2 linked regions of the Coturnix japonica genome follow. The protein of the gene in region 1 binds, or shares a complex with, the protein of each later gene. Links are inferred from orthologs where the notes say so. Each region holds a gene or a part of one and is shown in the gene's direction. Other genes may lie near its edges. The genes, in order: GTF2B and GTF2H3.

Region 1 (15,820 bases):
GTGATACCTTCTAGATACTTCACTTGACTGATAGCTTCTGGAAGACCTTCAGGTGCTGAGGAAGTTGAATGTTTTGGGTTCATGTGATTGTAATCTGCGTCAGTGCATCATACCAAGTTACCACAGTAACTGGTGCTTTATCCTGTTCCAGCTACAAAGTAAAATGAGTTTAGTTTATAGCTTTCTTCATAGACCTAGCAGATGGTTCATGCAAATGGCCATCTTTAGAACCAAAGTCGCTGTGGGTGGTGTAAGGTAATCAGTTTATTTTCCTTTCCCATAACAACAGGTTTGAACACTCATGTTGTCAGTTGTGCTTTGTTTTAGTGGACAGGTGCTGAGATCTTAAAACACAGTAACTTTATTGTCTGTTAGTATCAGCCTTTCCATGTTAATGCTTCAAACAAAACATTTACAGTTGAACAAAAGACTTTCTGTAGTTCAGCATGCAAAATAAAATTCCCTTTTGATTATGAGAAAAATTAAAGCTTGGAAGGTTACTCAGCTTTATTAATTTCAGTATGTACTCTATGATCAATACCATGACATCATCTTTAACTTTATTATTAGGATGATCATTAAACTTCAATAAACCTGTGAGAAATAATGTTTCTTCAGTAAAAGAAGCAAGATCTGTTCTTTTGAAATTCAGTTTCTTAGACTTCTTTAAATCTACGAAAAGAAAATGTAAGAAAAAAAACGGCATGTGCTATTTCTCTATTTAGTAACTTCTGTGTTTTCATATTAAACTTTCCACATTGCATCAATGCAATGGCAATTCATTTCTGAGAGATATGAAGTGGTACTGTATGAATTTACAGTGTCTGGTGGTGGTTCCTAAATATAATTTAACAGGAGTTGCTCATTACAGATTGTAAAATTAGTACAGTCTTTGTGCTGTCACTAAGGCTGTTTTCTGTAGCATGGTGCACTTCATCATGTTTCTCATTGTTATATGACTTCGTAAAAACAGTGAACCCCCTCTAAGTAATGATTAGGATTTAGAGGTAGCATATTGTAACTGAGGATTAAGAACAGACATCTCTACAAGCTGAGTGCCAGCCCAGGTAACAGACTTACATGTGTTAGTTTGCACTACGATAGTAAATTGTAGTCCAAGTTGCTTGTGGTGTCATGTTATTGATGCTGCCATCTGGCACGGAAGAATTTGCTTATTTAAAACCTGCTTGTGAAAGGAATGGAGCTGATACTTCCCCTGTGCTCTTTCTGCTGCTGCTATCGTTTGAAATGCCATTGCATTCTGTCTCCAAGGTTGATTTCCTATGACTATGTGGCAAAACAGTCCAGCTAGAGGGCATTTGCTTTGAAATTCAATTATTTTTGCAGATTGTGAGTTCAGATGTATTTAGGAAGTAATGTGTACTCTTGACCTAGCTAGCTACAAGATGCATCTGTTCAAACTGCCTTTATGTTTTCAAGGTCACAGAGCAGTTGAGTGAATATGGGTGAGCTAATAAGAATATGAGTCTCTTTCCTGCTAGTTTGGTTTCTTTTCTTGGCAAGTGTGCTCAGAAGAATACAATGCATGTTTTTGAAGAGTTGCAAGGACCTGTACTATGCCTAATGAATGTAACTGCTGCAAAACCTTTCTTATGAAAGTCAGTGTTTATGTTTGGAAAAATCTGTGTGTGTTGAGCTCTCTAGAGAGGGAATTTAGCAACTGATAAGTTAATTGGTAGCGGTTATAATGTACAAATGTGCAAGAGCCAAGTGTTGCTTAGCACTGAAACTGCTACTGCAGTTTTGACTTTGTCTAATTTTGTGTCCATGACCTGTGTCTTGATTTACCTGTTTCTACTGCAAATGGGTTAATTTAGAGTCAAAATGGTAAAGCAGTGTACAGAAGAGACCTTTGCTCCATTATCACCTTTGAAAAGAAAAAAAAGAGTTTGGTCTCCTATGAGACACAAAGATGGAGATAGGCTCCTTTGTATTCCTTAATACTTGCAATGCCCTTACCTAGTTCTTACTGCATGTCACTCTTAGGCCTGTTCAAACTGTACAATAAAATGTACAAACTGTATAATAAAATGTAATATACTTACTCACTCTGTACCAGGTTTCTGACTCATGTGATATCTGAATTCTAAACCAGAATCTTACAAGTTATTTTCTTCTTCTGATTAGAGATACTGAATGATACTGAATTGTTTTATGGACAATTCTGTTAAAATGACTGGGAGTGCTTGGTTTAATGTTGCTTATAGTGCCCTTACCAGGCATCAGAAATAATACTATATTAAGGTGAATATGTAGCCTCTTAGACTTTGTCTTTCTTACTAATAATTCTGCATCTTAGTTTGGGAAAACTAACATCATATTCACCAACTAAGTTTCTCCTTATTTTCTATCTTTTATCTTTTGTTAATCCAAATCTTATTTTTGTGCCAAAATCTTTGGTCCATATATTCTTTCTCACTTGTCACAGTTGCTGTAGTTTTCAAATACTCTCACTACAAATATATATCAACATACTGTAGTTCTTAGATAGGAGCAGTACAGCTCTTCAAATTACATGGAATATGTGAATGTACCTGTACCCAATTAATTTTATTTTATATACAGCTACATTACCAGGTATGTGGGAAAGAACAATAACTATAGGAAGTGCTGGGAAAACGTACAGTGTAACTGGTTGGAAGGTAAGGAAAATCAGTGGAAGAGTTAAGTAAATAACAGGTTGCATTTATCACACTCCATTTTTGTTACCTGTCTTTGAAGGTTTCTGGCAAATTTGTGTGTCTCTAAAAAGTGAAGCTACCATTCATTTGGAACAGCTATCTACTTGAACGCTTGTGTTTTCAGTCTGTTCTCATCTTTTGAGTAATGAATTCTTATAAGGAAAAAATATATAAATAAACACAGTATGATTTGTTCAAAATCAGTCAAAACTCTTGGAGAAGACTCAGTTGCTATCATACTTTTAACTTTCCAGTATTGTGATGGTGATTATGTTTTCAAATTGAGATAATACCTTTTGGAATGGTTTCTCTTTCAATACTATTAAGGTATGAAATAATAATATTTTGCTTGATTTAAAAATACATATTGGAAAATAAAATATAGAACCATTTTACAGCTAAATGCTTTCTTTTTCATCACCTGTGGTCAGAATGAGCCATGACAATTGAGTTGCATCTGTTTGAGAGTAGGCTTGATCCAGTAATGAGCTCTTGCTTTATAATTGAACCACCCTTTGACATGGGTGCCTATGAGATGAACCTAAAACAATTGGCAATATCATTCCTAGTAAAGGCTCTGGTTAATTTCTAACTCATTCCATGAAGAACTGAAAGTTTACTTCATATTCTTTGAGACATGTTAAGAGAAGCTGTTATTCTTATCTCATAAATGCATTATAAAGTTAGTTAAAACTTGCTCTTTTCTGAGTTCTTTTTCAGAGCAAACTACTGATTCTTAAAGTTAGAAAATGTCTCAAGTTTTTCTTTAATTCATTGTTAATCTGAAGTAATGTTCTTGCTGTAAGTATAATATATGCGTGTGTTTTTTCTGTAGCTTGGTTGGTCTATTGGCCCCCAGAATCTGATTAAGCATTTGCAAGTAGTTCATCAAAATACACTATATACTTGCCCAACTCCATTGCAGGTAGGTATAGATAAAGACAAAGAAGTTTATTTTCTAGTATTATGTATTTATATATATTTTATATATTTTCACTAAACGTAGCTTCAATTCATGTGTTAAACTCTTATGTCTAGAGCTTCTGTATGTGATTAATACTTCTCAAGCAGTTGGTGCTTTGGGTTAGCAAATTACATTATTGGATATAGTTTGTGTAGTTCTTATTTGCTGATTTGCTTAACAAGAGCCAGATCCTACTACAGAATCAAAGAAAAATCCTCATGATTTCATTAGGAAGTGTGTGAGTATCCTTAAGTATTTTGAACATTGTCTTTCCAGGAGGCTTTGGCACAAGCACTTTGGGTAGACTATAAACGCATGGATGACCCAGACTGCTATTTCTACTCACTGCCTCGAGAGCTGGAAAGCAAGCGTGATCGGATGGCTCAGCTACTTCAAGAAGTTGGGCTGACACCTATCGTTCCAGAAGGAGGATATTTCATGATTGTTGATGTTTCTACATTAAGTAAGTTTAAAAATAATAATGATAATTAGGATATAGAAATACAAAAATACTACTTTTATTTTGAACCATCTTCTCCTTTCTTGTTCACGTAACACTGTCAGAAATACTAATTGGGAATTAAATTTTCTATTTGACTTTAGCCTGGAGGTGGATTTTATAAGCTTGAAGGAAAATGTTTGCAATTGTAACAACTGTCCTTGTTTTGCAAAGCTTTGGCAAAGTTTTGGTAGGGCGGTGGTTGTGGATTAAAAAAGAATAGTCTATTTCTTAAAAGTCTATGATGATGAAAAGATTTGAGAGCCAAGCATTTGGCTTAATCTCCTCTACTTGTTAGCTGTTTCAGTATAATTTGAATTATATTTCTTTAATGAAAGTATATGTCTTTATTCTGAAGTATTAAGTGTAGTGCTGTTGGTGAATGCCTTCCCACTGGAGTCTGGAAAATCATACAATTTCTTTCTCTTAGATGTGGATCTTTCTGATGCAGATGAGAATCAACCTTATGATTATAAATTTGTCCGATGGATGATATCATCTAAGGTGAGATGTCCTAGTTATACTCTAGTTTTAGAAATGCTTTTCTACTGAAATCCAAAGCAGTGCAACCATGCTTATTCAAAACATTGTTTAGTATTCATGCTATCTTCTGGAAATGATGTGGCTTAAATATTGCTAAGCATGCCAGTAATGTGTTTCATAGGTTTGTGTTAAGCTCCAGCACTTGTTCTTTCTCTGCTTAAGTACTGGTTGTAGAAAAACACCTTTGAAATGTTTTGTTTAAGAAAAGTAATGTGAATTTATTTAAACCTAGTCAGCCAAAACAAAATTCAGCATTGTATTTCCCTTGAAGTTGGAAGAATTTTAGAAAATCATGCTTAGAACTGTTTTCAGTATATATATGTATAATAATATTTCTGTTTAATTCTTCAGAAACTCTCAGCGATTCCTCTTTCAGCGTTCTGTGGGCCCGAGACAAAAAGGCAATTTGAGAAATATATACGTTTTTGCTTCATTAAGGTAAATTTGTGTCCCGTGAAGACTCAAAGCTCAAAAGTCAATGTGGCATTAAAAGTGGAACATACAACTGCTACAATTCCCCCCCTCCCCAGTCTGAATTGGGTGATTTTAGAAACAGAAAATCAGTTTGGTGTAGAATTAAGCAAGAAGTTGCTTTGTCTTTTTTGCTGAGGGACTTGAAACCAGAAATAAGGATGACAAAGCTGACAACTGGGTGGTTAGATCTTTCCTTTTTTAAAAGATAATTTGTTGATTTGTAAAAGCATTATTGACCAGTGGTGACACTGACAATGTATGAGATGGGTATGCTATCACTTAAAGTGAATCCTATAACCAGAACAAGGAATAATTCCCATGTAATGATATTACATGATGCATGATATACATGAAATGCTGCATGTCTGTTCAGTTTCCGGCAACAAGAATAGTAAGTTGGCTTGAAGTTTAGCTCACCTGAAAATACAAAGAGCTTGCAGCTATAAAAGAAAGCAAAGACATGGGAAGGAATCTCATCTGTTTTTTTTTTTTGAGAAGAGAGAAATAATGAATTAGATAACATTTGTGATTTTGTGAGCACCTGATTTTTTCACACGTTCTTCCCTGTGTTTCACTCAGTTGTTGAATCTGTGTGTGGGGACATGTACATACATAATCTTTGGTCATCTGAGTGCTGTAGGATGTTTTTCCTATTGCTCTGTCACAGAATCAACATAATGAAATGTGACAACTCTTTTAGTATAAGAATCTGTACCTTAGCTTGGACCAGTGAGGAATGGGAGTTTCTGCTTATATTATCATAGCTCTTAGGATGAGGTATAAAGACAGTGATACAAATGGAGCCAGTAACAACCAGAATGAAACTTGCTGATAGTTAATGTAGCTTGCAGATGAACAGCACTAATCACAATGTAAACCCCACCTGTATGATTCATCATGTTGTAGCCAAGCCATACAACTGACCAGTGGGTTACTCATATTCAGAGGGTTTATGTTTAAGTAGACAGTATAGCTCGGTTGCATGAAGTTTTATACACCCCTTCTATACACATAAAGATTAGGAAACTATGCCAACAAGTGTCCAGTATAGAGCAGCCAAGTGCGTCACTGTGTAAATGCCAAATATTTACATAAGGACTACCCAATTTAATTAAATTTGATAATACTGAGAAAAAACGTGATTTTTTTTTTGTTACAAACATATCTAATAAATATTTGCAAGGAATCAGATTTTTTGTGTATTGCATAGATTTGTAGCTGTGACTGCTAATGACAATGTGAGCAGCTGGGATATTAAGAGGTTGCAAGTGACACTGCCAAATATTGATTTGGGATCATATTAAATATGATGATCATATTAAATATGACTACTACTGTTTTCAAGAATTCATACTTGGAATAATAGTGATACTCCTTGTTTTGCAGAAAGACAGCACTCTGGATGCAGCTGAAGTGATCCTGAAGAACTGGAAGAAGCAGAGAGCTTGATTTATTTTATTTTTCTCTTAGTTAAGTCTTCTGTCTGGCATAATTCTTACACTGGGGCTTTTACTGCAAACTGAAGAACAAATTACTTAATACAGTACAGGATTAATACGACATTGTAAATAACTTTGTACTGCCACCTGCTGAGGAGTTAAAACAACGGCTTGCTGATATTTGTAATGCAACTCGGAGGTTATTTTCATTCTTTTCAAAATCATTCACTTTTTTCCTTTAAAAAATAATCTGTGGGATTCACAAGTCTTTGTCTTATTGAAACACAAAGAGTTCTTGGACTGGGAAATAAATAATTGTAGGTGTTTTAAGTTTTTTTGTTAGGAGGTGGAAAAAAATTACTATATGTCTCAGAGAAGATAATCACAGTGCCTTTTACTATGTACCTGTCTACTCTGTCCATGCACAGATTTCATCAGTTTAGCTAAAATGATTGAGTTAAATCAATTGTGTGTTTATACAGGCAAGATCTAAAGGGATAAGCAGTGTTTGGTCTTGTGCTCTTCTGAAGGTGTTCAGTTCTCAATACAATTATGTAAGTGGCATTTAGAATAGGATTTCTTTTATTTCTACCTTTTTGTTTACTACATGAATCTGCAAAGCAAAATAAAAGGACTTGCTATAGAGTGATCTCCATCATGTGAATTAATCCTGTAATCTCTTTTTGTGTTCACAAAAGCCATTGGTAACTTCATAACAATCTTATTTTATACACTTAAGATCAGGGGTTACATGGAGATGGGCCTCATACTGTGCTTTAATTCTGTGATACTATGGAGTTCAAATTTGACTATTCCAAGCTCAGTGGATAAAGGACAGGTTCAAATGAGATAAATGTGGGGAATTCCTTCATTGCTGCCTCCTCTCTGTGCAATCTTTTAATTTCTGGATAGGTTTCCCACTAGCAAACACAGTCCAGGTAGGTAACCTTTTAAATGCATTGTGTTTTTTCATGTTTGTTTGTTATTCATCCCATAGACCTTATGCTGGAAAGCCTGAACAAATTCTATTGCTAGATCTGCAACTGTTTTACTTATTCTGTGGTTAGAGAGCTGCAATCCAGCTGAATCCCGTCAGTTTGTGGCTCTGGACAAGGACAAAAAGAACTGTATCAGACTGTGAAGTGATCTGTTAGGCTGCTTTGTCAGTAGCCCAGTAGCTGGGTCTTTTCAGCTGCCTTGCACTGTCATTCTCCAGATCGCCCCACAAAAATGGTTATTTGCTATTTTGAAGAGGTCATTACAAGTAATACACGTACAATTGCATTTGACTGTTATCTGATATTTTAGTGGGGAAATAAACAAAGGACCACTTGACAAACAAGCTCTGATGACTTATTAACGTACTGCTGTGTTTACAAATGCAGTTGAATATCCCATTGAATGGCTGGAATGGCATTGATGGCATTGCTAATGTGAGAACTGCAGCGTGCTTTGACTTGCAGTGCTGATGTGGCGCAGCTGTTGCAGGCGCTGCTGCCTCCCGTCCGTCCCCGGCTCGTGCCGCGCTCTCAGGCTCCTCCTGTCCCTCCGCGCGACCCGTCGCGAGCTGCCGGCGGCTCCGCCCCTCGCGGCCACTACATAAGGCGGCGCTCCGAGCTGCCGCCCGACCGCGCACAGCCGCTGCCTCAGGAGCGAGCGACATGGCGTCCACGAGCCGGTAAGGGGAGCTCGGCTGGTCCGCAGGGGCCCGTGAGGAGCAGTTCCACAGCGCAGCGCACGGCGCGGCTTCCGCCATCTCTCCGCGTCTGCGGACCGGCAGAGAAAATGGCCGCATCGGCCTTCGCTGCCGCCCGGGGAGGAACCGGCCCCGGCTCGGCGCTGCCCCTGCCTCGGCTCGCTGTTCTGTCCCGGCTTGTGGGGTTATTAAGCCGCCTGGTTGTGTGGGGGAAGGCAGCGGGGGCTTCTCCGTGCGGGCGGCGCCGTGTGGCGGTCGGTCGGTCGGTCGGTCTGCCGGCTGCTGTGAGGCAGAGCCGTGAGCTCAGGGCCCGCGACGCCTCCGCGGCGCTCAGTTACCACAGCGCTGAGCGGGCGCCTACATCGCTTAATTAAAACTTGGGTAGAACAAACGGTTGTCGTGTGGTCATTTGTGAAGGAGAAGTCTGCGACAGAGTGCTTGCTTTGGAGCTTCTTCGTTTGATTTACCACCTCCCCCCCTTCTTTCTTTTCTCTCCGCGTGTCGCTGGCGTTTTGCGTAACGCCAAATGTCAGCTGGGCGCCCTCCTCGCTTTGTCAACACTTGTGTCTGCCACGTGAAGCCGCCGGGGCGGCGAGGGAGGAAGGGCCGGGAGCGAGAGCGGCTGATACCCAGCGGGATTCGCATCCGAAGGTCGCGCGTGGACGCGTTGTGTGCAGGGGTCGTGGAGGCTGTTGGTGATTCTTATCGTACAGGTGCTTCTGAGCAGCCATCGGTTTAGAATAGGATGTTTATTTCCAGTTGACGCTTGTGGTATATCTAAAACATGAAGATTGAGGAGGCTCTGTGTAGATTAAGCTGCAGTGCTGGGCTGGTGGGAAAGGAGGGGACTGGGATGAATTCAGCTCTTTAATAGACTGGTTTCCTGTTTGAAGGATTAGCAGGTGCTTGTGGTGCTGCCACATTTAGGTTGAGAAGTACTAGCATTGTTTTATTTTACTGTGATCGGCTGCCATACCTGCTGCTTTTTCAGCTCCATTGAATGGCTCTGTTGAATATGAAACCTCAAACATTAAGTGTCAGTAACTTCAGCCTTGAAACAAAATTGTTTTAGTGGAGTTACTGGACAGTCGCTGCTGGTTTAGATAGTTTATTTACTGTTACAGTGTTCTGTGAGAAGCAATTGATCGTTGCTCTGCTTTAGTGCTGTTGGGTATATGCACATGTTAAATAATGACAAGGCTTTACTGGAGGTTTTTTGTAGCTGCTGGAGATGTGTGATGTACAAGAGGTTCCTGGTTCTCAGAAGCACTTGTTACCCGATCCCTCTCCTGAGTTGGTAGTTTCTCCATTATGATCTATACTAATGAATTGTTTAATTTACGTGATCTAGTTTTAGCCTGACTTAAGGATGGAATGTTTTTTTTCTAACCCTTGAAAAGGTGACAGAATTATATATTCTCAAACAAACGTGTGCCCTCCCTGAATTGAGGACCTGATGAATTATATTGGTTTGATAAGACTGCGAGGTGGGCTACACTTAGCTTGTCTGTATTTAAGTTTTGGATGTTCTTATTGGAGCTTTTTATGTTTCTGAGATAAGCTGCAAAAGTTTTAGATTTTAAGATATTCAGGTGTTTTTGGTTAATAATCAGTCCTTCAAATCACTGTAAATCGTTCTTTTCAGCAGTGAACTGATACTTTGAGATATGTGCTCTCCTTAATAAAGATAATAACAATTCTTTTTTCTTTCTTTGTAGTTTGGATGCTCTTCCAAGAGTGACTTGCCCAAACCATCCAGATTCCATTTTAGTGGAGGATTACAGAGCTGGTGATATGATTTGTTCAGAGTGTGGGCTAGTAGTAGGTAAGTGGATTTCATATCGCTGTGAATTACTGTGTAACTTAAATTACGCATGTTGATCTGTTTGGGTTTTTGTGCTTTTTTTCCCCCCACAAAATGGGAATGTGGTTTGAGTCTTTAGTTTTTTGTCTTGATACCTAAGTGTGTTATGGTATAATGATCTCTTTGCTAAACGCTTACTATTTGTAGTGGCCTTTCTTCTGGTAACTTCGTGTATTATGGAAAAAATAAAGAAACATGTTTTAGAGTTTGAAATCTTGAAATACTTTGTAATATTGAATTAGAATGGTATGTCGCCTAATCCAGTATTCTGCCTTTAACCACGACTGTTATGTCAGTTAGTAAAGAAAAAAAAAATGCAATAAAAGCCCTTAGGCAAATAGCTTCATGATAAATAAAGCCAGAACAACTCTTGTTTCCCACTGGCTGGAGGTTATTTTCTGCCCTGAAGGATGATTCTCTGTATCCTTCCAATATTGCTTTTGTTAATTACTTCTCCCAAGTCTTTTAATACTACCCAAAATAAATACCAAATTTCTCCTGAATGTTGCTGATCTCTTCTCCAGAGGTGTGTTCTTTTTCATGCATCTTTTTGAGAGAAAGCTTTTTCGTTCTTGAAACCTCATTTATTTCTATTCATTTTGTTCAGCTGTGTTGTGACTAAAAGGAAATACTCTATTTTGAATGTGAATGTTCAGATGATTAATTAAATAGCAGTAAATGTTTCGGATAGCATTGCCCTCTCTCATGGGCAGTAATGATTTTACATTGGCTTTACCTGGATTTTGTCCAGCTGTTAGCATAAAGCTGAAGGTGGAGTGGGTTGCAAAAGGTGCAGTGCTGGCTTATCCAGGTGACTGCACATTTTTTGATGCAGGAAGCAAACTTCCACATACTTTATTAAAGTTATTTTCTAAAATATTTTGGAAATTTTGGTATCAGTTGGAAACAAAATTTGGTAGAAAACTGGTAGCAGATTTGTTTAAAAGGATGAAACCTTACAAAGGGCTGAAAAGCACCCACTGTTACTTGCTTTGTCAAAGAAGGTCTGATTTAAGGTGTGTACTTTCTGATAAAGATAAATGAATTGTGACAAATCTGCTGGCTGAAAATGTGAACAGCTACAGCAATGTTTCCTCTTATTGTACAGTATCAAGCTCCTCGGCTGCTGTTTGAAATAACTTGGTCAGTGTCAACTCTTTGCATAACTGCTCTGGGAGTTGAACTGAAGTTTAGGAAGGTCAGCCTTGATCAGTCCCAGACTTTTAACAGCTCAGAGGAGGGGGAGAAAGCTTTGCTTGCGTGTTTCATCTTTAGGAACTTGGGAGTTATCAGATTCACTTTCATGAATCTTATATAGTCACAAGCTGCTCTTCTGTTAGAGCTTTACTTTCTGGTCTCTTCTGAATCAGTAGCTTTGCAGATTTCATTAGTTGGAGTGCTCAGCCTTTCTGAACAGAATCCCTTGGACATTAGTTCAGACTTTCACAGTGTAATTTCAAGATGTGTTTACACTGAACTTAGTCTTCTTTAGAGCCAATGTTACTGCTAGGGTAAAATGTGCTTTGCTTTTTATTCTTTAAGCAGGTTGTCGCGTGGATTTATCGCTAGAATATTCTAATGCTTACTGTTGTGCTGATTGTTCTCATTTGGTTTTGCCATGCTTCAGTAATTGAGTTATGTTCCGTTTAAGACAGTGGTGATTTCACTTCTTTCTACACAGTGAAGTCGCAGATTTGCATTCTGATTTCTCTAAGCTTACACAGGTGCAGCTGTGCGAGTCCCGCTCATCATTTGTTTTGGGGTGGGATGAAATTTGATGAGATTTTTACCACTCAAGGGGATCCATTAGAATAGTAGAAGAAACTGCACGGCTGTGAACTCTGTAGCCAAATTACTGTCACAGTGCCATTTAAAAATACAGTGGTTTTGGTGTCTGCAGAGCATCGCTTGTGTCCCAGAGTGGCAGAATGGTAAATGCTGAGTGTGGGTGTGTTCTGCTGCTGTGAAGTTTGTAGTGGTGTGATTTGGCCAGTATTTTGTTCAATATGATTGAAATGAGATCCAAGAATTTGTGACAAAGCTGAGTGTATTTCCACATGATCTGTGGCAGAGTACTAAAACTGAGCAGATTTTGAACATATTTGGAGGAAAAGCTGTTGATTTTTTTATTTTTATTTTTATTTTTATTTTTATTTTTATTTTTATTTTTATTTTTATTTTTTTTATTTTTATTTTTTTATTTTTTTTTTTTTCCTCCCCCCCCCTTCCCCTTTTTCCCTTGTGTATGTTGGTGGTTAAAGTAGCTGATACATTGATTCCAAAGTTTAACAGTTATCTTTTCTGGGACTGTGTGATGAAATCAATGTCATTAGTATTATGGCTGACATTGCATTTAGAAGTTTTGTAGCTGAAAAGGAGGGGAAAGGCAACAGAAAAAGACTGAGACAACAGGAGACCAGGATAAGGTTATGAACGACATGCAGATGGTTGTTCCATCTCCTGTAAACCTGCTCAGAGTTTTTGGGAAGGCATTCCATAGTTTGTGGTCGGAGATGTGGCTGTTACAAAGTTGCTGCATTATTTAATTGGCTAATATTTCTTGTGCTTGCAAGTAAGATTCTTTGCATCCATGGAAAGGCTAATTATAAGATATGCTTATGCTCGCAGAAACTGTGAGTGGTTGAAGGTGTGAGTGTTCCTGGGTGCTGAGTTTACACAGGTAATTTGTTGTAAGAGTCATTCATTAGCCTTTTTCAGTCAGCATTCCAAACAGTCTCTGTCTTAAGTCTGACCCATTTCAGTTCCGTATCTGCTGGAAACAGCATAAAGTTCAACAAATGCCTGTATTTGTCTTTTGGATGTGCATTGCTGAGGATGCCTGATTCCCAAATCTCATAAAGCTGTGGTAAACGTCATGTTGTCCATCCATTAGTCTGAGTGTTGGTGTGAGTACTGAGTCATGCAGCCATGACATGACTGTCACCATTTAGTCTTTGCTGAGACACCAGGAGCAGAAGCTGTGGCAGTTTTGGCAAGGCTTTGCATCACTATTCTTAGCATGATATTTCCTAAAGGATGTGGAAGGTTTTAGAGTATGTAGGTTCTAGACTGGGAACCAAAGATGGTTCAGAGCCAATATGAAGCATACTTCAATTAATCTAAATGGTATGTGAATCTACACTCTGAGGTATTGAATATTTGGGGGATGTTGGCTGATGGTACGGTGTTGATATCTGAAACTATTCAAAAGATCGTGTGCCTAATCTAAGGCTCTGTGGATGCTGTGTAGAGGAAGTTGTGACTGTAAAGTTATTTTGGGTTTAATTTGTTTATTCTCAACAGGTATTCTTTGTTGACTTAAATATACTAGGTTTATTGAGATGTTATATGGTGGAGCTCAAGGAAAGTAATTTTGCTTGCTGAAAACAGAAATGAAGTTGAGTATAACTGTGTTGGGCAATACAATAAGTGTCACGGTTTTATGATTTTTGTTATCAGTGTTCCACATCATAACATCACGTAGTGCACTGGGAGTTAAAGAGTTAATGCTCCAGTTCCATGGATTGTTGATATTCTCAGGTACCTGGTTCTCAGAAGAGGAGAACTACATCTCCCAGAAGACTTTCACTGTTCCGTTTCCATTTTCCATTTAGAGGGAAAGATAAAACTGCTCACAAGTCACAAGACTGTCCCCTTCTTTTACTGCTCGTCTCTGTGGTGTGTGCTTCCTAGCTGTCTCACCTCAGCATTAGAGTAAGGCCTTCAGTTTTTGGACACTCTAATTTTATTTGATTTATTAGCTTCCATTCTAGCGATATTGTATTATATTACCTCTCATTCTGATATCATTCTTATTTAATTGGTTTTCTCCCTTAGTTCTTTGCTGCTGTTCAGTTTTTAGCCCTATCTTCCTACTTTTCCCCCTTTTCTTTCCTTCTTTCCCAGGGCATGTGTCTGTGGGTCTCTTCACACTGTTACTCATAGAAGTGGGCCACATTGGCCCCAAATCATTGACAGTAAGCAAATAAACTGATTGTGGAGGAGTGTACACACCTGGAGTACTGTGTCCAACTCCAGGCTCCTCAGTACAAGGAATGCTCAGCCTTGTTGGAGCAAGTGCAGCAGAACGTGACAAAAGTGTTGTATGGGCAGGTGTATTCTCAATATGAGTGAATGGAGAGTGTTTAGTTTTGAAGGAAGGCTCAGCTCAGCCTGGTTCTGTGCAGTTATGTCTTCACAATTCTCCTTGGCTTGTAGTCTTCTGCCTGGATTTTTCACTGTAATTTGTCTTAGCTCCTCACTACTTTCTGTAATAAGGAGCTGGCTGAAATTAAGTAGAATTTTATTTAGGTTTTTAAATGTGGTGTTCTAAGAAGTGTTTCCATGTATGTGCTCACTAGATGGCAGCAGATTCATTAACTAATGGTCAGAATGAGCCAAACATTGTTAGAAACTGTGGGTGTTCGGTATTTTAAATTGTGAATAAACATTATTTTGCTGTTTATTTTGAGATTATAATATTAGTTGTTCATATGCAGAGCTTGATTCGGTGTACATCTACCATTACGGCTCCTCTTACAATGATTTAAGCCACATCATCTTGAAAATGCTTCAGGACTGAATATGAAAGATAATGTTATTTGAGGCTTGAATTCCATGCTATTTGTTTTGATTAAACCTCCTCAGTTCACAGCTGTGTGTGTGTATATATATGTGTGTGTGTGTATATATATATAAACATATATGTATTTTTAATATAAGAGATAATAAAAATGCAAATAGAGAATAAGGGGCTCATGTATCATGAGTATTTCAAGAGGATGTGCTGCTAAAGTAGCTGCTATTATTTCTCCGAAAATATGTAATTGTGAATGCAGAACTTGTCAAGTAGGAGTGTGTTCCTTTGATAAACTGCTTTCTATTTTTGGGGTGAAATAAACATGCAGTATTAGTGTTTAATAGACGTGCTAAGCTAATTACTAAAAACTGTTGAAAATTGCATTTTAATTTTTTATACTGAGCTGAGTTTACTCCTACATTTCTGGAGCACTTGCTTAGATAAATTAGGTTAGAAAAGTAACTGGTCTGAGGTCTTCTGTTCTGAAGGTTTTAGATAGTACTTTTTGGGAGCTTTTGTTACTCTGCTGTTTGCCACTCAGGTGCATTTTCCTGGTGATTTAGGAGAGCACATCAGTAGGGTATGAGCCAGGAAATGCGTTTCAGAGCTTGAAATTAGCAACCAGTCTTCAAAGCTGATTCTCTGAGTGCTGTTGTGTTGCACTGCTCTTGTAAAACTGACCTTGGTGTTTAAGGTTTTGTTTCTGTCACTTACATGTGGGGCTTTATTACATACATACCAAGGCAACAGTTCCAAAGTGGTTTTTATGTTTTTAAAGGTTAAAAGAGTACTTAGTGTCATGCTTTCTTTTGTGTGTGGGACAGGATAATTAGCTGCTTGTAGTTGAATATTTTCCATCTATGGAAACATTTGGCCTATTTGTTCCAGTTTTGTTGTTATTTCTAGCTTGTGTCAGGCTTCTATGCAAGGCTTTTGCAAGGTGGAATGTGATTCCTTGAATGTCTGTAAGTAAAGAATATCCAGGAAAGCTGTTTTCTTGCAATAGCAGATTTCTTGGCAACACGAAGGTGTTTACACACTGCATCTTAATTCCACAAAT
Region 2 (15,744 bases), on another chromosome or scaffold:
GTTTCATTGTGAAAATGAGGAGTTTTATTACTTAAATTCCAAAGCTGACCTGTGTTGATAAGGACGTAACTATTAAATGTGGTTCACTGTAATAGCTGTCTTATGGAAAGAGGATAGAAGGAGATCATTGCTTCATGTCGGGATTCTGATAACATGAACTTTATAACACTATAGAAGTAAAGATTATAGATGCTGTGTTAATCATAAAAGTGATGTGCATACCTTAAGGGAAAATAGACAAGTTGCTATTCTTGAAAGGGCTCAGACAGTTCTGACATGGCCGCCTTAGGTGGGTTAAATATATGGTATAATCTTCTACTTCTCTGTCTTCATCACAACAGCACGTGTGCCTGTGTGGAATACTATGGGAAGGCGCTGGAATCCTTAATTAAAGAAGTGAAAATTATGTGCATTCATGGCAAAATGAAACACAAGCGCAACAAGATTTTTACTGAGTTCCGAAGGCTCCCGGGGTAAGAACCAAGCAGGTTACTCCAGGCAAAAGCACAAACAGTAAGAGAGATTTAATAGTGTCTGACAGGGTGCTTTCCTTAAATGACAATTGAGTGAAAAAATGCTTTTTTTTCCTCTTCTTCCTAGTGGGATTTTAGTTTGCACTGATGTGATGGCGCGTGGCATTGACATCCCAGAAGTACACTGGGTTTTACAGTATGACCCTCCTAGCAGTGCAAGGTACAACTTCAGATCTCACCAACCTGTGCTCGTGCTACTGTAATGTTTAGGTATAAATGGGGAACACACAGCTGTGGAAAAAGCACAAAGTTGTCTGGAAGTCTGAGCTACCTGCAAACAAGAAAGTTGTAAGTGATGTGAAGTTGATTGGCTTTGTAGGCCTGATGTGCAGAAGTAAAAGAGGTGGTTGCCACTTGCACAAAGGGGCTTTCTATTCTAAGGGTTAGTGTGAGAGTACGGGGGTAACAAGCTGAGGGGTGTGAATGAGTGCAGAGAGCTGGGGTGGAGCTATTTAAGGATGGTACACTGAGAGTTCACATGAGGGGAGCGTTTCCCACTTATTTTTACTTGTATTGTCATCATTTTCCTGTAGCTGAATTATGAGTTTAGTTTGAAAATACTCCAGGTTTTCCATTCTGTCAGATTTGTCCTTTTTGCTCACAAATGCTTTAAAGTCAGACCAGGCATCTCTCCTTAAATTATCCCTGTTTTATTTCAGTGCCTTTGTGCATCGCTGTGGTCGAACAGCACGGATTGGAAATGTTGGCAGTGCACTTGTATTTTTGCTTCCCATGGAAGAATCTTATATTAACTTTCTCTCAATCAATCAAAAGGTCAGTAGGCTTTTATTCTAACCCTACGCAGCAAAGGGCAGGGGAGCCAGAAGGTGACCAAAACTTACTGAAGATTAACTGGAGAAGAAATGTGTTTGAATTTTCAGAGCACGTTTCAAATCATTCAGCTGAACTTTGCCTTTCTTTTTGTATTCCTTTGTTGGTTTTCAGTGTCCCATGCAGGAAATGAAACCACAGAGAAACGTGTTAGATCTTCTTCCAAAACTGAAGTCTATGGCTCTCGCTGACAGGGCAGTGTTTGAGAAGGGGATGAAAGCATTTGTCTCTTACATCCAGGCTTACGCCAAACATGAATGCAATCTGATCTTCCGAATTAAAGGTAATTCCCAGCAGGAGCTGGGGATCTTTTACTGTTCTTCAGAAGATAATGTTCAGTTTGACAAAAAGCCCCCGTGATGTTACTGTCTGTAGCTGCTCCTTTCTGTTCTCAAAGTCTGACTGAAGCAAACCTAAGTGTAAATGTGACCTCATATTGTCATTGCTATTAAATACTAATTTCAGGATCATCTTTTTTGCCTGGAATTTTGTAAGTTCACTTTTTATCCAGCAGGAAACTGACTTTATAATCTTTATCTCAACAGACCTGGACTTTGCTAGTCTTGCTAAAGGCTTCGCCTTGTTAAAGATGCCGAAAATGCCTGAGCTAAGAGGAAAATGTTTTCCAGATTTTACTCCAGTCACTATTAATACGGACTCCATTCCATTTAAAGATAAAAACAGAGAAAAGCAGAGACAAAAGCAACTTGAACAACAAAGAAAGGAAAGAGAAGAAAATGGAGGAAAAAAGAAATTCATAAAAAACAAATCCTGGTCAAAGCAGAAAGCCAAAAGGGAGAAGAAGAGGAAAGCAACAGCTAAAAGGAAGCGTGAAGAGGTAAACCATGCCAGTCTCTTAAGCTGCGTGTTGTTACTAAATGTACTTGCAAAAGTCAGGGAGCAACGGGATTTTAGTGTGACAGAAGTGAGACACACTGCAGGGTTACTTATTGAAAATAAGCCTTCTACGTCTGCCAGGCAAAGCATAGGAAAAAAAGCTTTTTAAAACCAAATGTTGCAACAATTTCTCATCGCTCAGGTGATGGTGAATTGCTGCCAGCATAGGTTCATAGGCTGCATGGATTGTAGGGGATATAGCAGCACTTCACTGGATAGTTCTTATTTGTTGTTGCTTTTTTTTGTGTTTCAACAAGTGAATTTGATAGATTGGTGGTAGAATTTGAGTATAATTTCCTGTTTGGATGCTGCTGGCAAAATCTAGGTTGTAAAATTCTGTTGTGTTCAGCTGTCTAGAGATGAAGCCTTTGGTGTCGTGTGTAATCTGTTGTATTTCAATGGCTAACAGGGCTCTGATATGGAAGATGAGGACATGGAAGAGTTGCTGAATGACACGAGACTCTTGAAAAGATTAAAGAAGGGGAAAATTAGTGAAGAAGAATTTGAGAAGAGACTAACAGGAAGCCAGAGTAAATTCAGAGAAGCTGCTGCTGACTGAGACTGAAGGTTTCATTCTAACTGGGCTTTCACATTAAGATACTCCCTATTCCAATAAAACTGTATTTTTATAACAAAATAACGATGCAGAGAACAGAATGGGTTTAATTTCTTCATCAAGAAACTTGGTTTCCATAAGCATAGTTAAGAACTGCAGTTGAGAACAAAGCTAAAGGCACTGCCCTTGTGTCATTTGGCTGGAGCTACAGCTTTCCCTCGGTGCATTTATTTCAGGGCTTTTTGTTCACAGATCAGTGAATGACAGCATGTTATGGAATGAGGCTGAATGCACCATAAGTTACTTTATTTTACAGTACTAAAATACTTGACCCTCTTCTCCAATAATTCATTTAAGGAATTCAGAAGCTGTAACAACTTCCATTTTTTTTTCCTAAACAGTGGTTCATCCACAGGTAATGCCTTAAACTGAAGGTTGATAATGACATGAATCCTTGTAATGCTGCCTCCTCACCTTGTCCACCCCACTTGTGTCACCTCCCAGGCTCTTACAGCTGTGACAGTCACTGAGGATGGTACACATTGCACACCATGTCCATTGAGTTACAGATACAGTTTAATGAGTTCGTCGCTGACAGCTGATGGAGTTAACACACCAAGGTCTGTAAACAGTAACGTGATAAGTGATGGTGACGTGTAGTCAATCCAGGGATGTTCCTCTGTTAGATTCTGACTTGTTTTCAGCGTGTCTGCTTTGTACTAGAAGGAAACAAGACCGTTAATTATTACACAGCTGCGAGCTAAAATCTCTCTTGGGCTGGGGCAGTGCTATAATCTTGAGCAGATATCTGTGGTAAAATGGAGGGAAGTCAACTGCTTTAAAATGAGGCATGTGCTGCCACCTTGGTCTCGAGTGTTTTACCTTCTATCCACCATACAACTTATAGTTCTGAAGTGTCTCGATGTAGCTGTTTCTTGCCTGCAGCTACTCCCGTGCCCCAAAGGAATTGCTTTGGTAACTCAACAAGAGTATTAGGACAAATTGTGGATGTTGGAGGTCTGACTTGAACATGGACCAACTCTGTACTGTGTCAAGTTAACTACAGTAGAGAGATCCAAACAAATGAAGATGTGCTTAGAAGAAAATTGCTCACAAACAAGTAAGTGGATCTTAGTTTGCCAGGAAGCAACCTGTATTTCTCTTACCTTAAACTTATCTGGGACATCCTGCTGGTTTAGAGGGAAGAGTCTTACAAACTTGAAACTTTCTGCCACCACATAGAACGGCTTGTTCTGAGCTTTGGCACACACAGCAATCTGATTGGTGCCAATCTGTGGAGACACAGAAAATAATGTGCAGATTCCATGCTAGCATGACTTAATATTGCCATGTTTCCAATAATAGACTTTCACTGATTGATATCCAAGAATATTTGAATAGAGTTTCCAGATTGATGCAATGCGTTCTCTTTTACCTTGTTAATAATGCCTCCGCTTTCTACTACACCTTCAGCACCAACTAAGACCAAGTCCACTTTCTCCATAATGTAGCTGTTGAAGAAGGGGAAGAGATCCAAGTCTTAGCAAATAACGTGACTCATTGAACAGAACAGAGATAAGGAATTCCAACAGTCTCACTTTTCTAAACTAGTTTTAGCTGCTGTTAGTTAAGTAAGACTGTGTTGTTCGACATCCTTGGAATGAGCTTTCGCCTGCTTGCTCAGCAGGAATGGTACAAGCCATGTCTGACCTTGACAACTGTGTAAGCGATGGGAGAAATCCATCAACTGTAGTCATTACATGGCAAAATATGCTAGAATTTAGCATTTAGATTGAAAACAAACACAACATTTAGAAAGAAAAATCAAAGTAGTTTTCTTTAGTACAGCAGCTCCTTCACATATCCCCAGGCTCCACGCATAGGTTGATGGAGTCAGACCTTATAGGCAAACATCAAGGTACAAGTTCTGCAGCAGGCGTATTTGGTTAATCATGCACCTAAAGTGTCACTTGTTCAGCTTGTTTGATGACTATGACAAATGAAGTAACAATTCCTGTGTTTAGAACAACCTCCTATGGAACTTAAATGGAACAATGTTAAAATTGGGATGAACGTTAAGATTTAATGATCAGACTCACCCAACTGCAGCATCCAGTATCACAGTCACAGGAATGTTCAGTTTCCTCAGGGCTTTTGCCATTTTTTGCCTGTTATATAAAAATGAAGCTTAAAAGTCTTTCTTTAAAGATGATAATAGAAAAACAATGTCTGAAAGAATGAAACCCATGACTATCTATGTTCCTACAAGGCCAGCAGCTTTGAAGTTATGACAGAATTGATGCTGGCTGTAGTTTATCCTCTTAGCCAAGATGAAGCACAAGTTAATGAATACTCGCCCTGCTTGGTCTGGCTGTGATTCAGTAACATAAACGCTGAATCGCTTCTTTGACTCAACAGCTGCTTCTAGCACCCTGAGGACCACTCGTGAGTAGGCGTGTGTCAATATCCTCTGTCAAAAGAGATTAAATGTTACTTCTTACTGAGCTTTAAAACCTTCATTTCAGTTAGGATGAACAGGGCTTTTACTTCTGTCAGTGTCCATTGGTGTTATGGTCTCAAACTAAAAGAGGGACAATTTAGATGGGTTACAAGGAAGAAGTTAGTTATGATGGTAGTGAAGCACTGGCACAGGGTGCCCAGAGAGGTGGAGGTGCCCCATCCCTGCAGACAGCCATGGTCAGGGGGTGGGGCTGTGAGCACTGATGGAGCTGTGGGTGTCCCTGAGCACTGCAGGCAGTGGGACTACATGAGGTATAAGAGTCTCTTCCAACTGAAATGACTCCATAATTCTATGATGTTGCTCGTATTTACAGATTTTAGGAGAGGATGCCACGCTGTGAGATGGGCAGGAATAATAACACCACCCCCCTGCTTTCCCAGCAGCGCAGGCAGCAGAGCCAGGACACGAGCAGCCCTTGTTGTACTTACAGCTCCTTGTTGTACTTACAGCTCCGTCTCTGATGAAGGGATGACACAGTTTGGCGATTTTGTTCCTGGACAGAGAAACCTTCCTGAGGAAGATCTCCCCGCGCTCGATCATGATTTCTTTGCACTTGGAGTAGTCCTGGAAAGGACACAGCGCTGCTGCCGGCTGCCCTGCAGCAGATGGGCCGGCAGGAGCCCGCTCCTTACCGAGTACTCGAGCGACGTGAGGCTGATGAAGCGCAGGAACAGCTCCCCGCCGGAGTTGACGGCCACGGACGAGTCCACCCGCGACAGCGTGTCGATGGCATCGCGCAGGCTGCTCCGCAGGCCCTGGATGGTCTCTCCTATGGAGACAGGGCACAGCGGGGGATCAATCGGGGCCGGGCCAACATCGCTTCGTGTCCGGCCGCCGGGGATGGGCGCCCACCTCGGTCCTGCCGCAGGAAGCCCAGCAGCGCGCGGATGGCGGCCACCGCCGAGGCGACGTCGGGGTCATCCCTCAGCTGCGCCCTGAAGGTCTCGATCAGGTCTGAAAGGCAAAGAGCCGCCTCACACTCGGCTCAGCCCGGCCCCCACAACACCCTCCATAGAGACACATTACCGTCCGTGCTCATGGCTGCCCCCGCCCTGCTCGGTGCCATGCGGCGCAATGCGATGATGTGCGGTATGACGACACCAGCGGGCGACACCAGCGGCGGGATGGGAGCGGGTGAGAGGAGCCGGCCGAGGGGGTCGGGACGGGGGGGGGATGAACCGGGCCGAGTCCAGCTCAGCTCAGCTCAGCTCAGCTCAGCCCCCGCGGCTCCGGCAGCTCCCGGCCCCCTGCAGTGACCCGCTGTGTGTTTTGCAGACGAGGAGCTGAGCCTGCTGGTCATCGTCATCGACACCAACCCCATCTGGTGGGGGAAGCGGGCGCAGGGGGAGGCTGAGGTGCGTCCCGGGGCCGCTTTTATAGGAAACATCGGTGGGAAACGTGAAAAGTATCATCAAACCGGCACAGGGTGCACGGGGAGGTGGAGGTGCCTCATCCCTGCAGACACCCACAGCCAGGGGATGGGGCTGTGAGCACTGATGGAGCTGTGGGTGTCCCTGAGCACTGCAGGCAATAGGACTGCATGACCTTTAAAGGTCCCTTCCAAATGATTCTCTGGTTCTACAGTTATGCATTTGTCAGAGCTTTGCTCAGCTGATGCCTCCCGTTAGAAAGGAAGCCCTGCACCTTCTAGTTCTGAGTGCAGTTCTGCGGTTGGTTCCTGTAGGTGCTGTCCTGCTGAATTATTCTTTCCCTTGGCAGTTCACCCTGTCGAAATGTGTGGACGCAGCGATGGTGCTGGGGAACTCCCACCTGTTCATGAGCCGCACCAACAAACTGGCCGTGATGGCCAGTCACACGCAGGAAAGGTACGGCAGCCGCTCACCACCATGAGTGTGACGTGTTGTCCACTCCCTGCCTCCTGGTAGAGAAAGAAATGGTCTGTTTTAATGCCTTATGGAAAGCAAGACAGAGTCAATGCATCAACGTATTGAAAGGAGGGAGGTGAACCATTTGTGTCACAACAATTTCCTGCCTTATGAACCCTATTTAATGCCTGAAGTATTAAAGTTATTTGGAGTTTTACTTCAAAATATCGCTGTCTATGAGTGGTCAGCTGATGTCATTTCTTCCTTACAGGCTGAAAAGCAAACCGTAACACTTTGTTCTTCCTCTCTTTTAGCCGTTTCTTGTACCCTGGGAAGCGTTGGGCTTCTGCGGATCTCCTTGGAGATGGTGGTAACTCCGTGGAATCCAATTGTTCTGGCAGCAAGGATGGAAAATATGAATTGTTAACTGCAATCAATGATGCAATTGCAGAAGAGATTAAAGACCTCATGACGAAAAGTAAGGGAATAAAAATTCTGGGTTTCATAACACAGAACTGCAAAATGTTCTCTGGGAGTTGCAGGAATTTCTTTGGTTCATTTGGATTTTAATATGTTTAGAGTAGGTGAGTTTTTATGGCTGATATTGGGTGACTCTGCAGTGATTCAACATGGCGAAGATTGAACTGTAGCACTCAGTGAGATCAGGCTGAGTGAATGATTTTGTGTATCAGAGTAATCTGTGTAATTTGCTTTGCAGCTGACATGATGGGCCAGCAAACAGAGACTCTCCTAGCAGGGTCTCTTGCCAAAGCACTTTGTTGTATCCTTTTGATGGCAGAACTTTTAAAGGCTTTTGTCTGTTTCTTGTCATACTAATTATCCTTCAATACAGTCTTGACTATCAGTGCATTCTATAATAATTTTCAAAACTGAAACATTTGCCTTATAATTGTGGATCAAACAACGTGTGTTGTTTGAGGTAGTGAGTACATAGCATGGGTGCTGCTGGTGCTTCCATGAACAGAGTGTGGATTCCTTGATGTTGTCTGATGTAGATATTAACAAGATGAGCAAAGAGGTGAAAGGTAATGCCTTTAGAGTGCTTTCACGAGTATTTGAACCTATATACCTAATATACCTAATTGCTTTGGGGCAATAAATGACATAGGCCCGCTTTCGTAACGTCTGAATTATTCTACAGATAATTCTACATGTATTTCTATACCACTGGGACTATCAGTATTTACATTCACATTGTCTGAGACATTAGATCTGTCATTTTGGATGTTAGATTGATTGGATTTACCTTAGTTAAAATGTCAGGTATCGTAGAACTGTAGGGACAACTATAGGGAATGGATGTACTCATGTGCTTTTATTTTCTTTTTGCTAATCAGCCAATCAGGAAATGAAATCAAGGATTTTGGTAAGAGCTTTGTTGTTAGTCTACTATTAGCCTTAAAATACATCAATGCTATATGGGCTAACAAGTCTCTATTGTTTTATTTAGGTCATAAAAGCTGCAGAAGACAGTGCATTACAATATATGAATTTCATGAACGTGATCTTTGCAGCACAGAAACAGGTGAAGCTATTTGATATATCTTATCTTTTATTAGCATATAAAGAGTGAAAAAAAATGGTTCATTTACATTATGGCTGTGATCTGGTTAAAGAATCCCTGGAGTGAAGACTGTCATGCCAAGAGTGAAAGGTAACCGAGGTTAAAAGTCAGATCCTACTGCTACATCTTAACGTGAAGGGTTTGCTGGACTAATAAGAGATTGCTGTGAAAGAACGGATGGTAGCCTTCTGTCCCGCCTTGCAGGTGCTGTGTACAGGATACCTTTGCTGATAGTTCTTTTATTGCCATACATTAGAAGGGAGGTGTTAGAATTCTGGATGTTTGTTCTGACAAAGGGAATGAGCTTTCTTATTGCTGTGGTGGTCCTGCAGCTGTAAAACATGGATGAGGTTACATTGTTCCTAGCTGAACTCCTTTTTTTGTGGGTCTCTTTACTTGCAGAGTATTTTGATTGATGCTTGTGTCTTGGACTCTGATTCAGGCCTTCTACAACAGGTACAAGCTTCCTATTCTTACTTGCTGTTTGCTTTAATTCATAGATACTTGATGCTAGATAGTTTGATGTGTTTTAAAGCACTCTCAACTTTTTCAAACCAGAAAAAGAGACATTATTACACCCTTCTATGAGACAAGGCCTAGGTATTTTATGTTGGTGAAACACTGTCTCTTTTTCTCAGTCTTTTTGTACCCTCCTATTCTGTAACAAATTATTATTGCTTTGTTCTTCTTCCTTGGCTAGTAGAAACCATTGCCTTCCTGTTAAGACTGAGCTATCTGATCATTCTCTCTGCATTCCAGGCTTGTGACATTACAGGCGGCATATACCTTAAAGTGCCCCACCTGCCATCCCTCCTGCAGTATTTGTTGGTATGTCTTCACTTGCTTTTTCCTGTGTCAGATGTGAAATCTTACTGACTTCACTGACACGATGATACAGCCATTTCCACACTATTTTTTTCCCTGTTTATATAGTGGGTATTTCTCCCTGATCAAGAGCAAAGATCACAGCTTGTGCTTCCACCTCCCGTTCATGTTGACTACAGAGCAGCGTGTTTCTGTCATCGAAATCTCATTGAGATTGGTTATGTATGCTCGGTGTGCTTGTCAAGTAAGTTTATAAATACGAGTTGAACTTCCTACATGTCAAATGAGCTATTATTAGTGACAGCCAATCCTTTTATTTTCCAGTATTCTGCAACTTCAGTCCAATTTGCAGTACATGCGAGTAAGTTTTCCTTCTTATTTCAGGAGTGGGTCTGAGAATGCATTTGTTGTATCTGACAGTTCCTTTTTATGTCATTTCAGGACTGCCTTCAAAATATCACTGCCGCCTGTCATGAAAGCTAAGAAGAAGAAATTAAAGTTAGCTGTCTAACGATGCAACTTAAACACACCGTTACTGCTCCTGTTATTCCATGAAGGGGGATGTACTTGAACAATTGTTGACACTTTTTACAGGATATGAAAGAGAACTGTATGCAGTCTTACTGCTTTTTTTCTTAAAGTATTTAAGCCATTTTTTCTATGTAGTAACAAATCACTGTGTTAGCAGGTAATCTGTGCTGTCTTAAATACTGTTTATTCATTGTAATTAGAACCAGAAGTTACAGGTTGTTAAGATGCAGGTCTTGCAAATTTGGAAGCATTCTTGCTGCTGCAACTTCAAACTTCCAAGTTATTTTCCAAGACAATAAAGTTTTGGTTGTTTTTAATCACATGTTGGTGCAGAGGTGAGCTGTCACCACTGCTGATGTGTAGGGACTGAACCTCAGCACCGCTATTGAAGGACCTCAGTGTTCTGTGAGCTTTCAGTGTCTGTCTGGGCACTGAAATGGGGTCAGCTTCGGAAGAAGAAAGCCAAATGTTTAAAGATTGCTTAGAACACACCTTCCTGTCGAGGGTGTTCATTCCTTGGCACGTGCACACGCACTGTGTCATATGTTTTTATTCTCTTTATGCTTTTTGGCTCTCTTGGATAGCTGCTCCTCAGTAACTGGAGCAGTAATATGGAGGTATCCTTCCCAGGGGAATTTTGACCAGAAGACCACATTTATGTGTGAGAAGGGGTTTATGTCTGTAAAATGACATCAGTAAATGTCCATGAGGTGGTCAGTCTTCAGTGCTGTGCTTTGAAACTGGAAAGGTTTCAGATCAGTGTGTTTTGTATTTGAGTAGCAGCTATGTGTGCCATGTCCAGGCGTGCATCTGGCTTCGGTCAGGGCGGTTGTTGTCATCAGCTCCCGTTCTCGTCGCCAGGAGCCACTTTGTTTGCAAGTTGTATCTATAATTCTGTTCTTACAACACCTTTTGGAATAAAAGCAGTTCTTTTTACAGACATGGATGCTGTTCGGCCTGTTGGTGTTTGTGAGGCGGTCTGTGGCACGGCGGGTGATTCCCGCCCTCCTGGTTGCCGTGGCAGCAGTGCCGCCTCAAGATGGCGGCGCTCAGTGACGCTATGGCGGCCGCCGGGCTCGGGGCGCTGCTGCTGGCGGCTCTGTGTGCGGGGCAGCCCGGTGTGTGGGAGGGGGCGAGGGGAGGAGAAGAGAAGGGGAAGGAAGGGATGAGAGGGGAGAGGGCCGCAGCAGCCTGTGCGGGCTGAGGGGGCTCGGCCTGGTGTGCCTCCCAGATGCGGCGCTTTGAGGGTTTCTGTGTTACAATGTGATTCTTTTCTAAACTTTCTCTTCCCCCCCAGTTTTTCAGCCTTCCTTTATCCACATGTCTGGGCTAAGAGTCAATTCGTTTTTTCTTGGAGATTCTTCAGGAGTTACGTTTTCCATTATTTTAGATGCTATCGATAAAGAGACAGGTAAGAACACTTTATTTATCTACCCGCTATTTCGAAAAATAATAAATATATTTGAATTCTTAACTTTTTTTTGTTGTTGTTGTCATTACAATTACCCAAATAACTGCAGTGCAGTTCAAAGAATCATCACAGAACTGTTGGAGTTGGGAGGGTCCCTCTGGTGCCCCATTCCCACATGAGAAGTTTGAAGTGACAGTGAAACAGATAACATACATATATATATATAATATATATTAATAATATATATATGTGTTTGTTATGTTTTAATTTTGATACAGGAAATTTGCTCCTTCCAAACTGCGGTGGAAATGAAAGAGCTGGTGACTGGGAATTGAGTGTAACAGCTGGTGTGGTATGTAAAACACTGCTTCTGCCCTAAGATAGAAAAGCTTGAGCAATCATATATTAAAGGCTGATGAAGTGCTAATGTAATATTAGTTTACTGACAGCTCAGTTAGAGTGCCTTCCCTTTTTGCCTTTGTTATGTCCCATCATCTGGATGCCCATGTTGGAAGTTGCTAAGGTGCAGCTTTGATGCTGGTTTCTTGTCTTTCTCCTTTCCCGAACTGCCTGTGCTTCCCGGCAGGTGATGATACAAAGAACAGTAATTTGGTACAAGCTGTTGAATCCATCATTTTGTGTTTTGCAGGGTTCATCCAAAGTGACTGTAACCTTCACTAGAAATCTCCAGTTATGTTTGCCCAATGCCACCGACTGCTGCACAGCACCTCTCTGTGTGGTGGAAACAGTTCAGGTTTTAGCTTGCAGTGGTTCGGCGATGCTGGCACGTCTCATAATTCAAGCTGAAATATATGCCAACTCTTCCTTTATGGGAAATGTGTCAGGTAAGTACTTGGATATCCTGAGGAAGAAATGGTATTTACTTCCCCTTTCTGTACCAGAAAAAAGAAAAGTAAAATTGGGAATTGGACAGCAATGAGAGATTAAATTTCTCTAGCATTTAAGGATTTATATGCAGGTGGGATTGGCTGTAATGCATGTTGTCTGCTTCTTGGGATTCCAGTCTGTATGACCTGAATTTTCTCTTCTTTTCTTGTAATTCTCTTACAGAAATCATGTCTGTCATCCCTAACCAGGTGTTTCAGCCCTTGGGCTCATGTCCTTGTGACTTGACAGATGGAGCTTGTGATGTTCGTTGTTGCTGTGATCCGGTACTTATTTCATATTAAACTTTGATGAAATGGTTTTAGAATTTCTATGTTCCTTCTGTTGTCTGGAGGGAGAATTACTGAGTATTTCAAAGTAGAAATAGGGTCTGCCTGGGTTTTGTGGTATTTCTAATAGTAAATATGACATCTGTCTACAGGGCTGGCTTGGTTATCTGCAAATACAGCACTAGAGGCCGTGGTGGTGCAATTATGGCATTAAGGTGTTCTTTTCCCTTCCAGGAGTGTACACCAGACTTGAAGCAGTTATTCAATGGATCGTGTTTCACTGGAGTGTTTGGTGGGGATGTAAACCCACCTTTTGATCAGCTGTGCTCCACACAGACAACAGAATATACTCCTGATTGGTTTCCCTTCCTTTGCATACAGTCTTCTCTTAGCAATACACCATTTCTTGGCTATTTTTATGATGGCTCTGTGTAAGTCTGAAAATATTTCTTTCCTCAATACACAATTTAGACATTACATTGAAACTGTAGCATGTATTTTTTACAGTGAAAGTTATTTTGAAATTATAAATCGATCACTTTAAATGTAAATGGAGAAATATAATTGGTACTTTGAGAGCACGGGACTGGAAGGCAGATATTTAATTCACCATGTAATGTGAGGAGTAAAGAATTGTTTCATTTTTGAACTTATTTGCAGTTCTGCACCCAGAAGTTCTGCACCCAGAGTTCGTCCATTTAGGATCCCTGTACAGGCTTCTCCTGGGAAAGTGTTCACTGGTTACAGAGCAGGAGATCCAATTATGACAGAAGATGACGAGTATTTTACCATCCCTCAGGTAATTGCTCCATATTTAGGAGCTTCTGATTCCTCTTGGCTAGTTGAAGTTCTCCATTTATCACATTCTTTTGTGTTTGTAACCAGATTCTGTAACTTGCTCTTATGAACTGGTGGAATATATTTTTCACCAAGCACAAAATCATTGTTAATAACAATAATTATCTTTCCTCATCCCCTGCCCACCCCTCCCCTTCCTTGCCTTTAAGGCTCACATACGTTTCTGTTCAACTACCTGCAGCCGTCCCTGGCAGGGCAGTGTGCTGGAAATGCCCCTGTAGCGTTTCTGCAGGACTTTGACGTGAGGTGCCTTTCTGATGCAGCATCTTACAAGGAAGGACTGTCCCATGATGTGAAAATCAACAGTGGAACAGGAGGTATGTCGCATAGTCCTAACAGAAATGTAGTTATGTTCTTCAGAAGTAGAATTAACGAGAGGACTGTTGACGTGGCAGCTACATGGCTATAGTTCAGTGTTTAGGGATGTTATAGTCCTATTTCTGATCACCTGCCAAGCTTCTCTGTATTACCCAGGACTTGGGATAGGAGAAATAGTGGGATTAGCCTTTGTTTCCCATTTATCTGTTTCTGGTGACTCATATGGCTGCATGTGGCACAAGGAAGCATCTCTCATCATGTTTTTGTATTCTTGGAACCTCCTTTTTCTGTCAAGAGGGTGCAGTGTTGTCACTTTAGAATTAGAAGTGCTTACTCTCTGCATTACAAAAGCATAAATATAAGAAATGTCATTCTGGAGTTTGAGATGATGCAATTACCAACATGAAGAGAATTTATTTTATGCTGTTTAATTACGTTGTCTAATTTTATTTACACTACCTTAGTAAGAAGCAGAGATAATTAGCTATGCTCTAACACATAACCTGCCTGGTTTATTACCAAAACTGGCTTTCTAAATACTTTTCTGCACAGTTTCTATAACAAAAAGGAGTACTTTGGATGTGAATGTTGTATATGATTCTTTTATCAGGATTACTGCAGCATTTGTTTTTTATTCTCAGACTTCATCCAACAAAATGTGACCTACAAAACCGTCACTGACAGGGACAAATTCATCACTAAAAGTGGTATGTTTCTGCTGTGTAATTAGTGTGTTTCTTTCTTAACCTGGATGACACAAGTGACTGGGGTGCCTAAAACATTTACCTGTCGTGATTCCTAGGAAGGATCTTGTGTGTATTCTAATATTTGAACAAAGCAGGCAGGGCAGGCAGCCTGTAAGCAGTGCTGGATGTGCCTGAATTTTGAACACTCTTGTGCCTTTTTAAGGTTCTGGAGCCAATGAAGCAGCTTTTATTTTAGAACAGTGGCTCCCAGTCAGTGGGGAGGGTAATGCAGGATAGTGCTGAATCCATACTAGCATGTATTTCTGGAAGATGATGGCCCTCTCAGCAGGGTGAGATAAAAAGAGAGGGACTCCTGAGTCCAGAGGGCCCCAGCAGCTGATGGAGTAAGGCCTTGTGCTGGGTTCTTAAGGAAGGGGTCAACTACAACAGGAGCTAGAACTGCAGGTGTTAGAATATTGATAAACGAAGGGATTCTACTGTAAATGCAGCACACTGTCCTTGTATGATGGGACTTAAACAGTAAAAAAAAAATGTTAAAAGGATGAATGATTTATCTTCCAGAATTTTGTTAGAGATTTTTAAGTTGTTTTTCAGTTACAGCTTTCTAATTGGCAGTACTTTTGGTTATGGTATGTTTTTCTTTCTTCTGCAGAATTTCCTCCTACCGTGGGCATTCCATTGCAAAGTATAACCTTTGCAGAGCATTATACATTCGTGTGTGAAGGTGACAACATAGAGGGAGTGAATGTCACAGTCTTCCAAGGAAATCTATATGGTGGAGGTATTGTGACTTTTCTTGTACAGATTTACTATTTTTTTTATTTCTTAAGTGAGTAAATTATTTGATAGTTTATCTTAATTAGTAATATTGATCAAAAAGAGTTTTGGACTCTGGAAAGAAAATGTATGGGGCAAATTTCTGCCAATTGCTATTATCCTGAATCTTCTGGTGCTCATGTAGGACAGAAATTTGTATCCTAAATAAGCAGCATACTTCCTGCTAATTTATGTATGGGAACATAAAGTCATTCCTTTATCTTTTACCAGAAATGCTGACGCAGAGATTCACGGCTGAATTTGTAAGATTAAAGAGTGATAATGCAGCAGAAGTGCCCAATAATCCAGGTAGTAATACCTCAGTTTGCTTCATAGAAGAACAGATTTTGGTAC

Evidence for each region.
Region 2: GTF2B (region 1) and GTF2H3 share a complex: the UniProt entries of both Homo sapiens proteins name them as parts of the TFIID-containing RNA polymerase II pre-initiation complex. The link is inferred for Coturnix japonica from reciprocal best matches to the Homo sapiens genes GTF2B and GTF2H3.

The regions. Positions count from the first base shown.
Region 1 is NC_029523.1:13,174,236-13,190,055, forward strand, and holds the start of GTF2B (transcription initiation factor IIB), read left to right. Parts: upstream 1-8,170; 5' UTR 8,171-8,282; coding exon 8,283-8,299; intron 8,300-10,035; coding exon 10,036-10,142; intron 10,143-15,820. Other genes in the region: KYAT3 (kynurenine--oxoglutarate transaminase 3), read left to right, coding at 2,587-2,663, 3,538-3,627, 3,943-4,129, 4,596-4,669, 5,060-5,146, 6,569-6,631. UniProt on the Homo sapiens protein: General transcription factor that plays a role in transcription initiation by RNA polymerase II (Pol II). Involved in the pre-initiation complex (PIC) formation and Pol II recruitment at promoter DNA.
Region 2 is NC_029530.1:4,196,815-4,212,558, reverse strand, and holds GTF2H3 (general transcription factor IIH subunit 3), read left to right. Parts: upstream 1-6,375; coding exon 6,376-6,472; intron 6,473-6,613; coding exon 6,614-6,693; intron 6,694-7,057; coding exon 7,058-7,164; intron 7,165-7,478; coding exon 7,479-7,642; intron 7,643-7,882; coding exon 7,883-7,945; intron 7,946-8,180; coding exon 8,181-8,210; intron 8,211-8,522; coding exon 8,523-8,551; intron 8,552-8,635; coding exon 8,636-8,710; intron 8,711-9,151; coding exon 9,152-9,205; intron 9,206-9,508; coding exon 9,509-9,577; intron 9,578-9,682; coding exon 9,683-9,818; intron 9,819-9,898; coding exon 9,899-9,935; intron 9,936-10,015; coding exon 10,016-10,085; 3' UTR 10,086-11,045; downstream 11,046-15,744. Other genes in the region: ATP-dependent RNA helicase DDX55, read left to right, coding at 342-473, 601-693, 1,193-1,307, 1,479-1,647, 1,910-2,202, 2,671-2,820; EIF2B1 (translation initiation factor eIF-2B subunit alpha), read right to left, coding at 3,381-3,536, 3,984-4,109, 4,253-4,328, 4,917-4,985, 5,175-5,287, 5,786-5,902, 5,971-6,107, 6,191-6,292 and 1 more; TCTN2 (tectonic-2), read left to right, coding at 11,145-11,223, 11,403-11,516, 11,795-11,868, 12,166-12,361, 12,588-12,688, 12,926-13,122, 13,352-13,490, 13,731-13,866 and 3 more. UniProt on the Homo sapiens protein: Component of the general transcription and DNA repair factor IIH (TFIIH) core complex, which is involved in general and transcription-coupled nucleotide excision repair (NER) of damaged DNA and, when complexed to CAK, in RNA transcription by RNA polymerase II.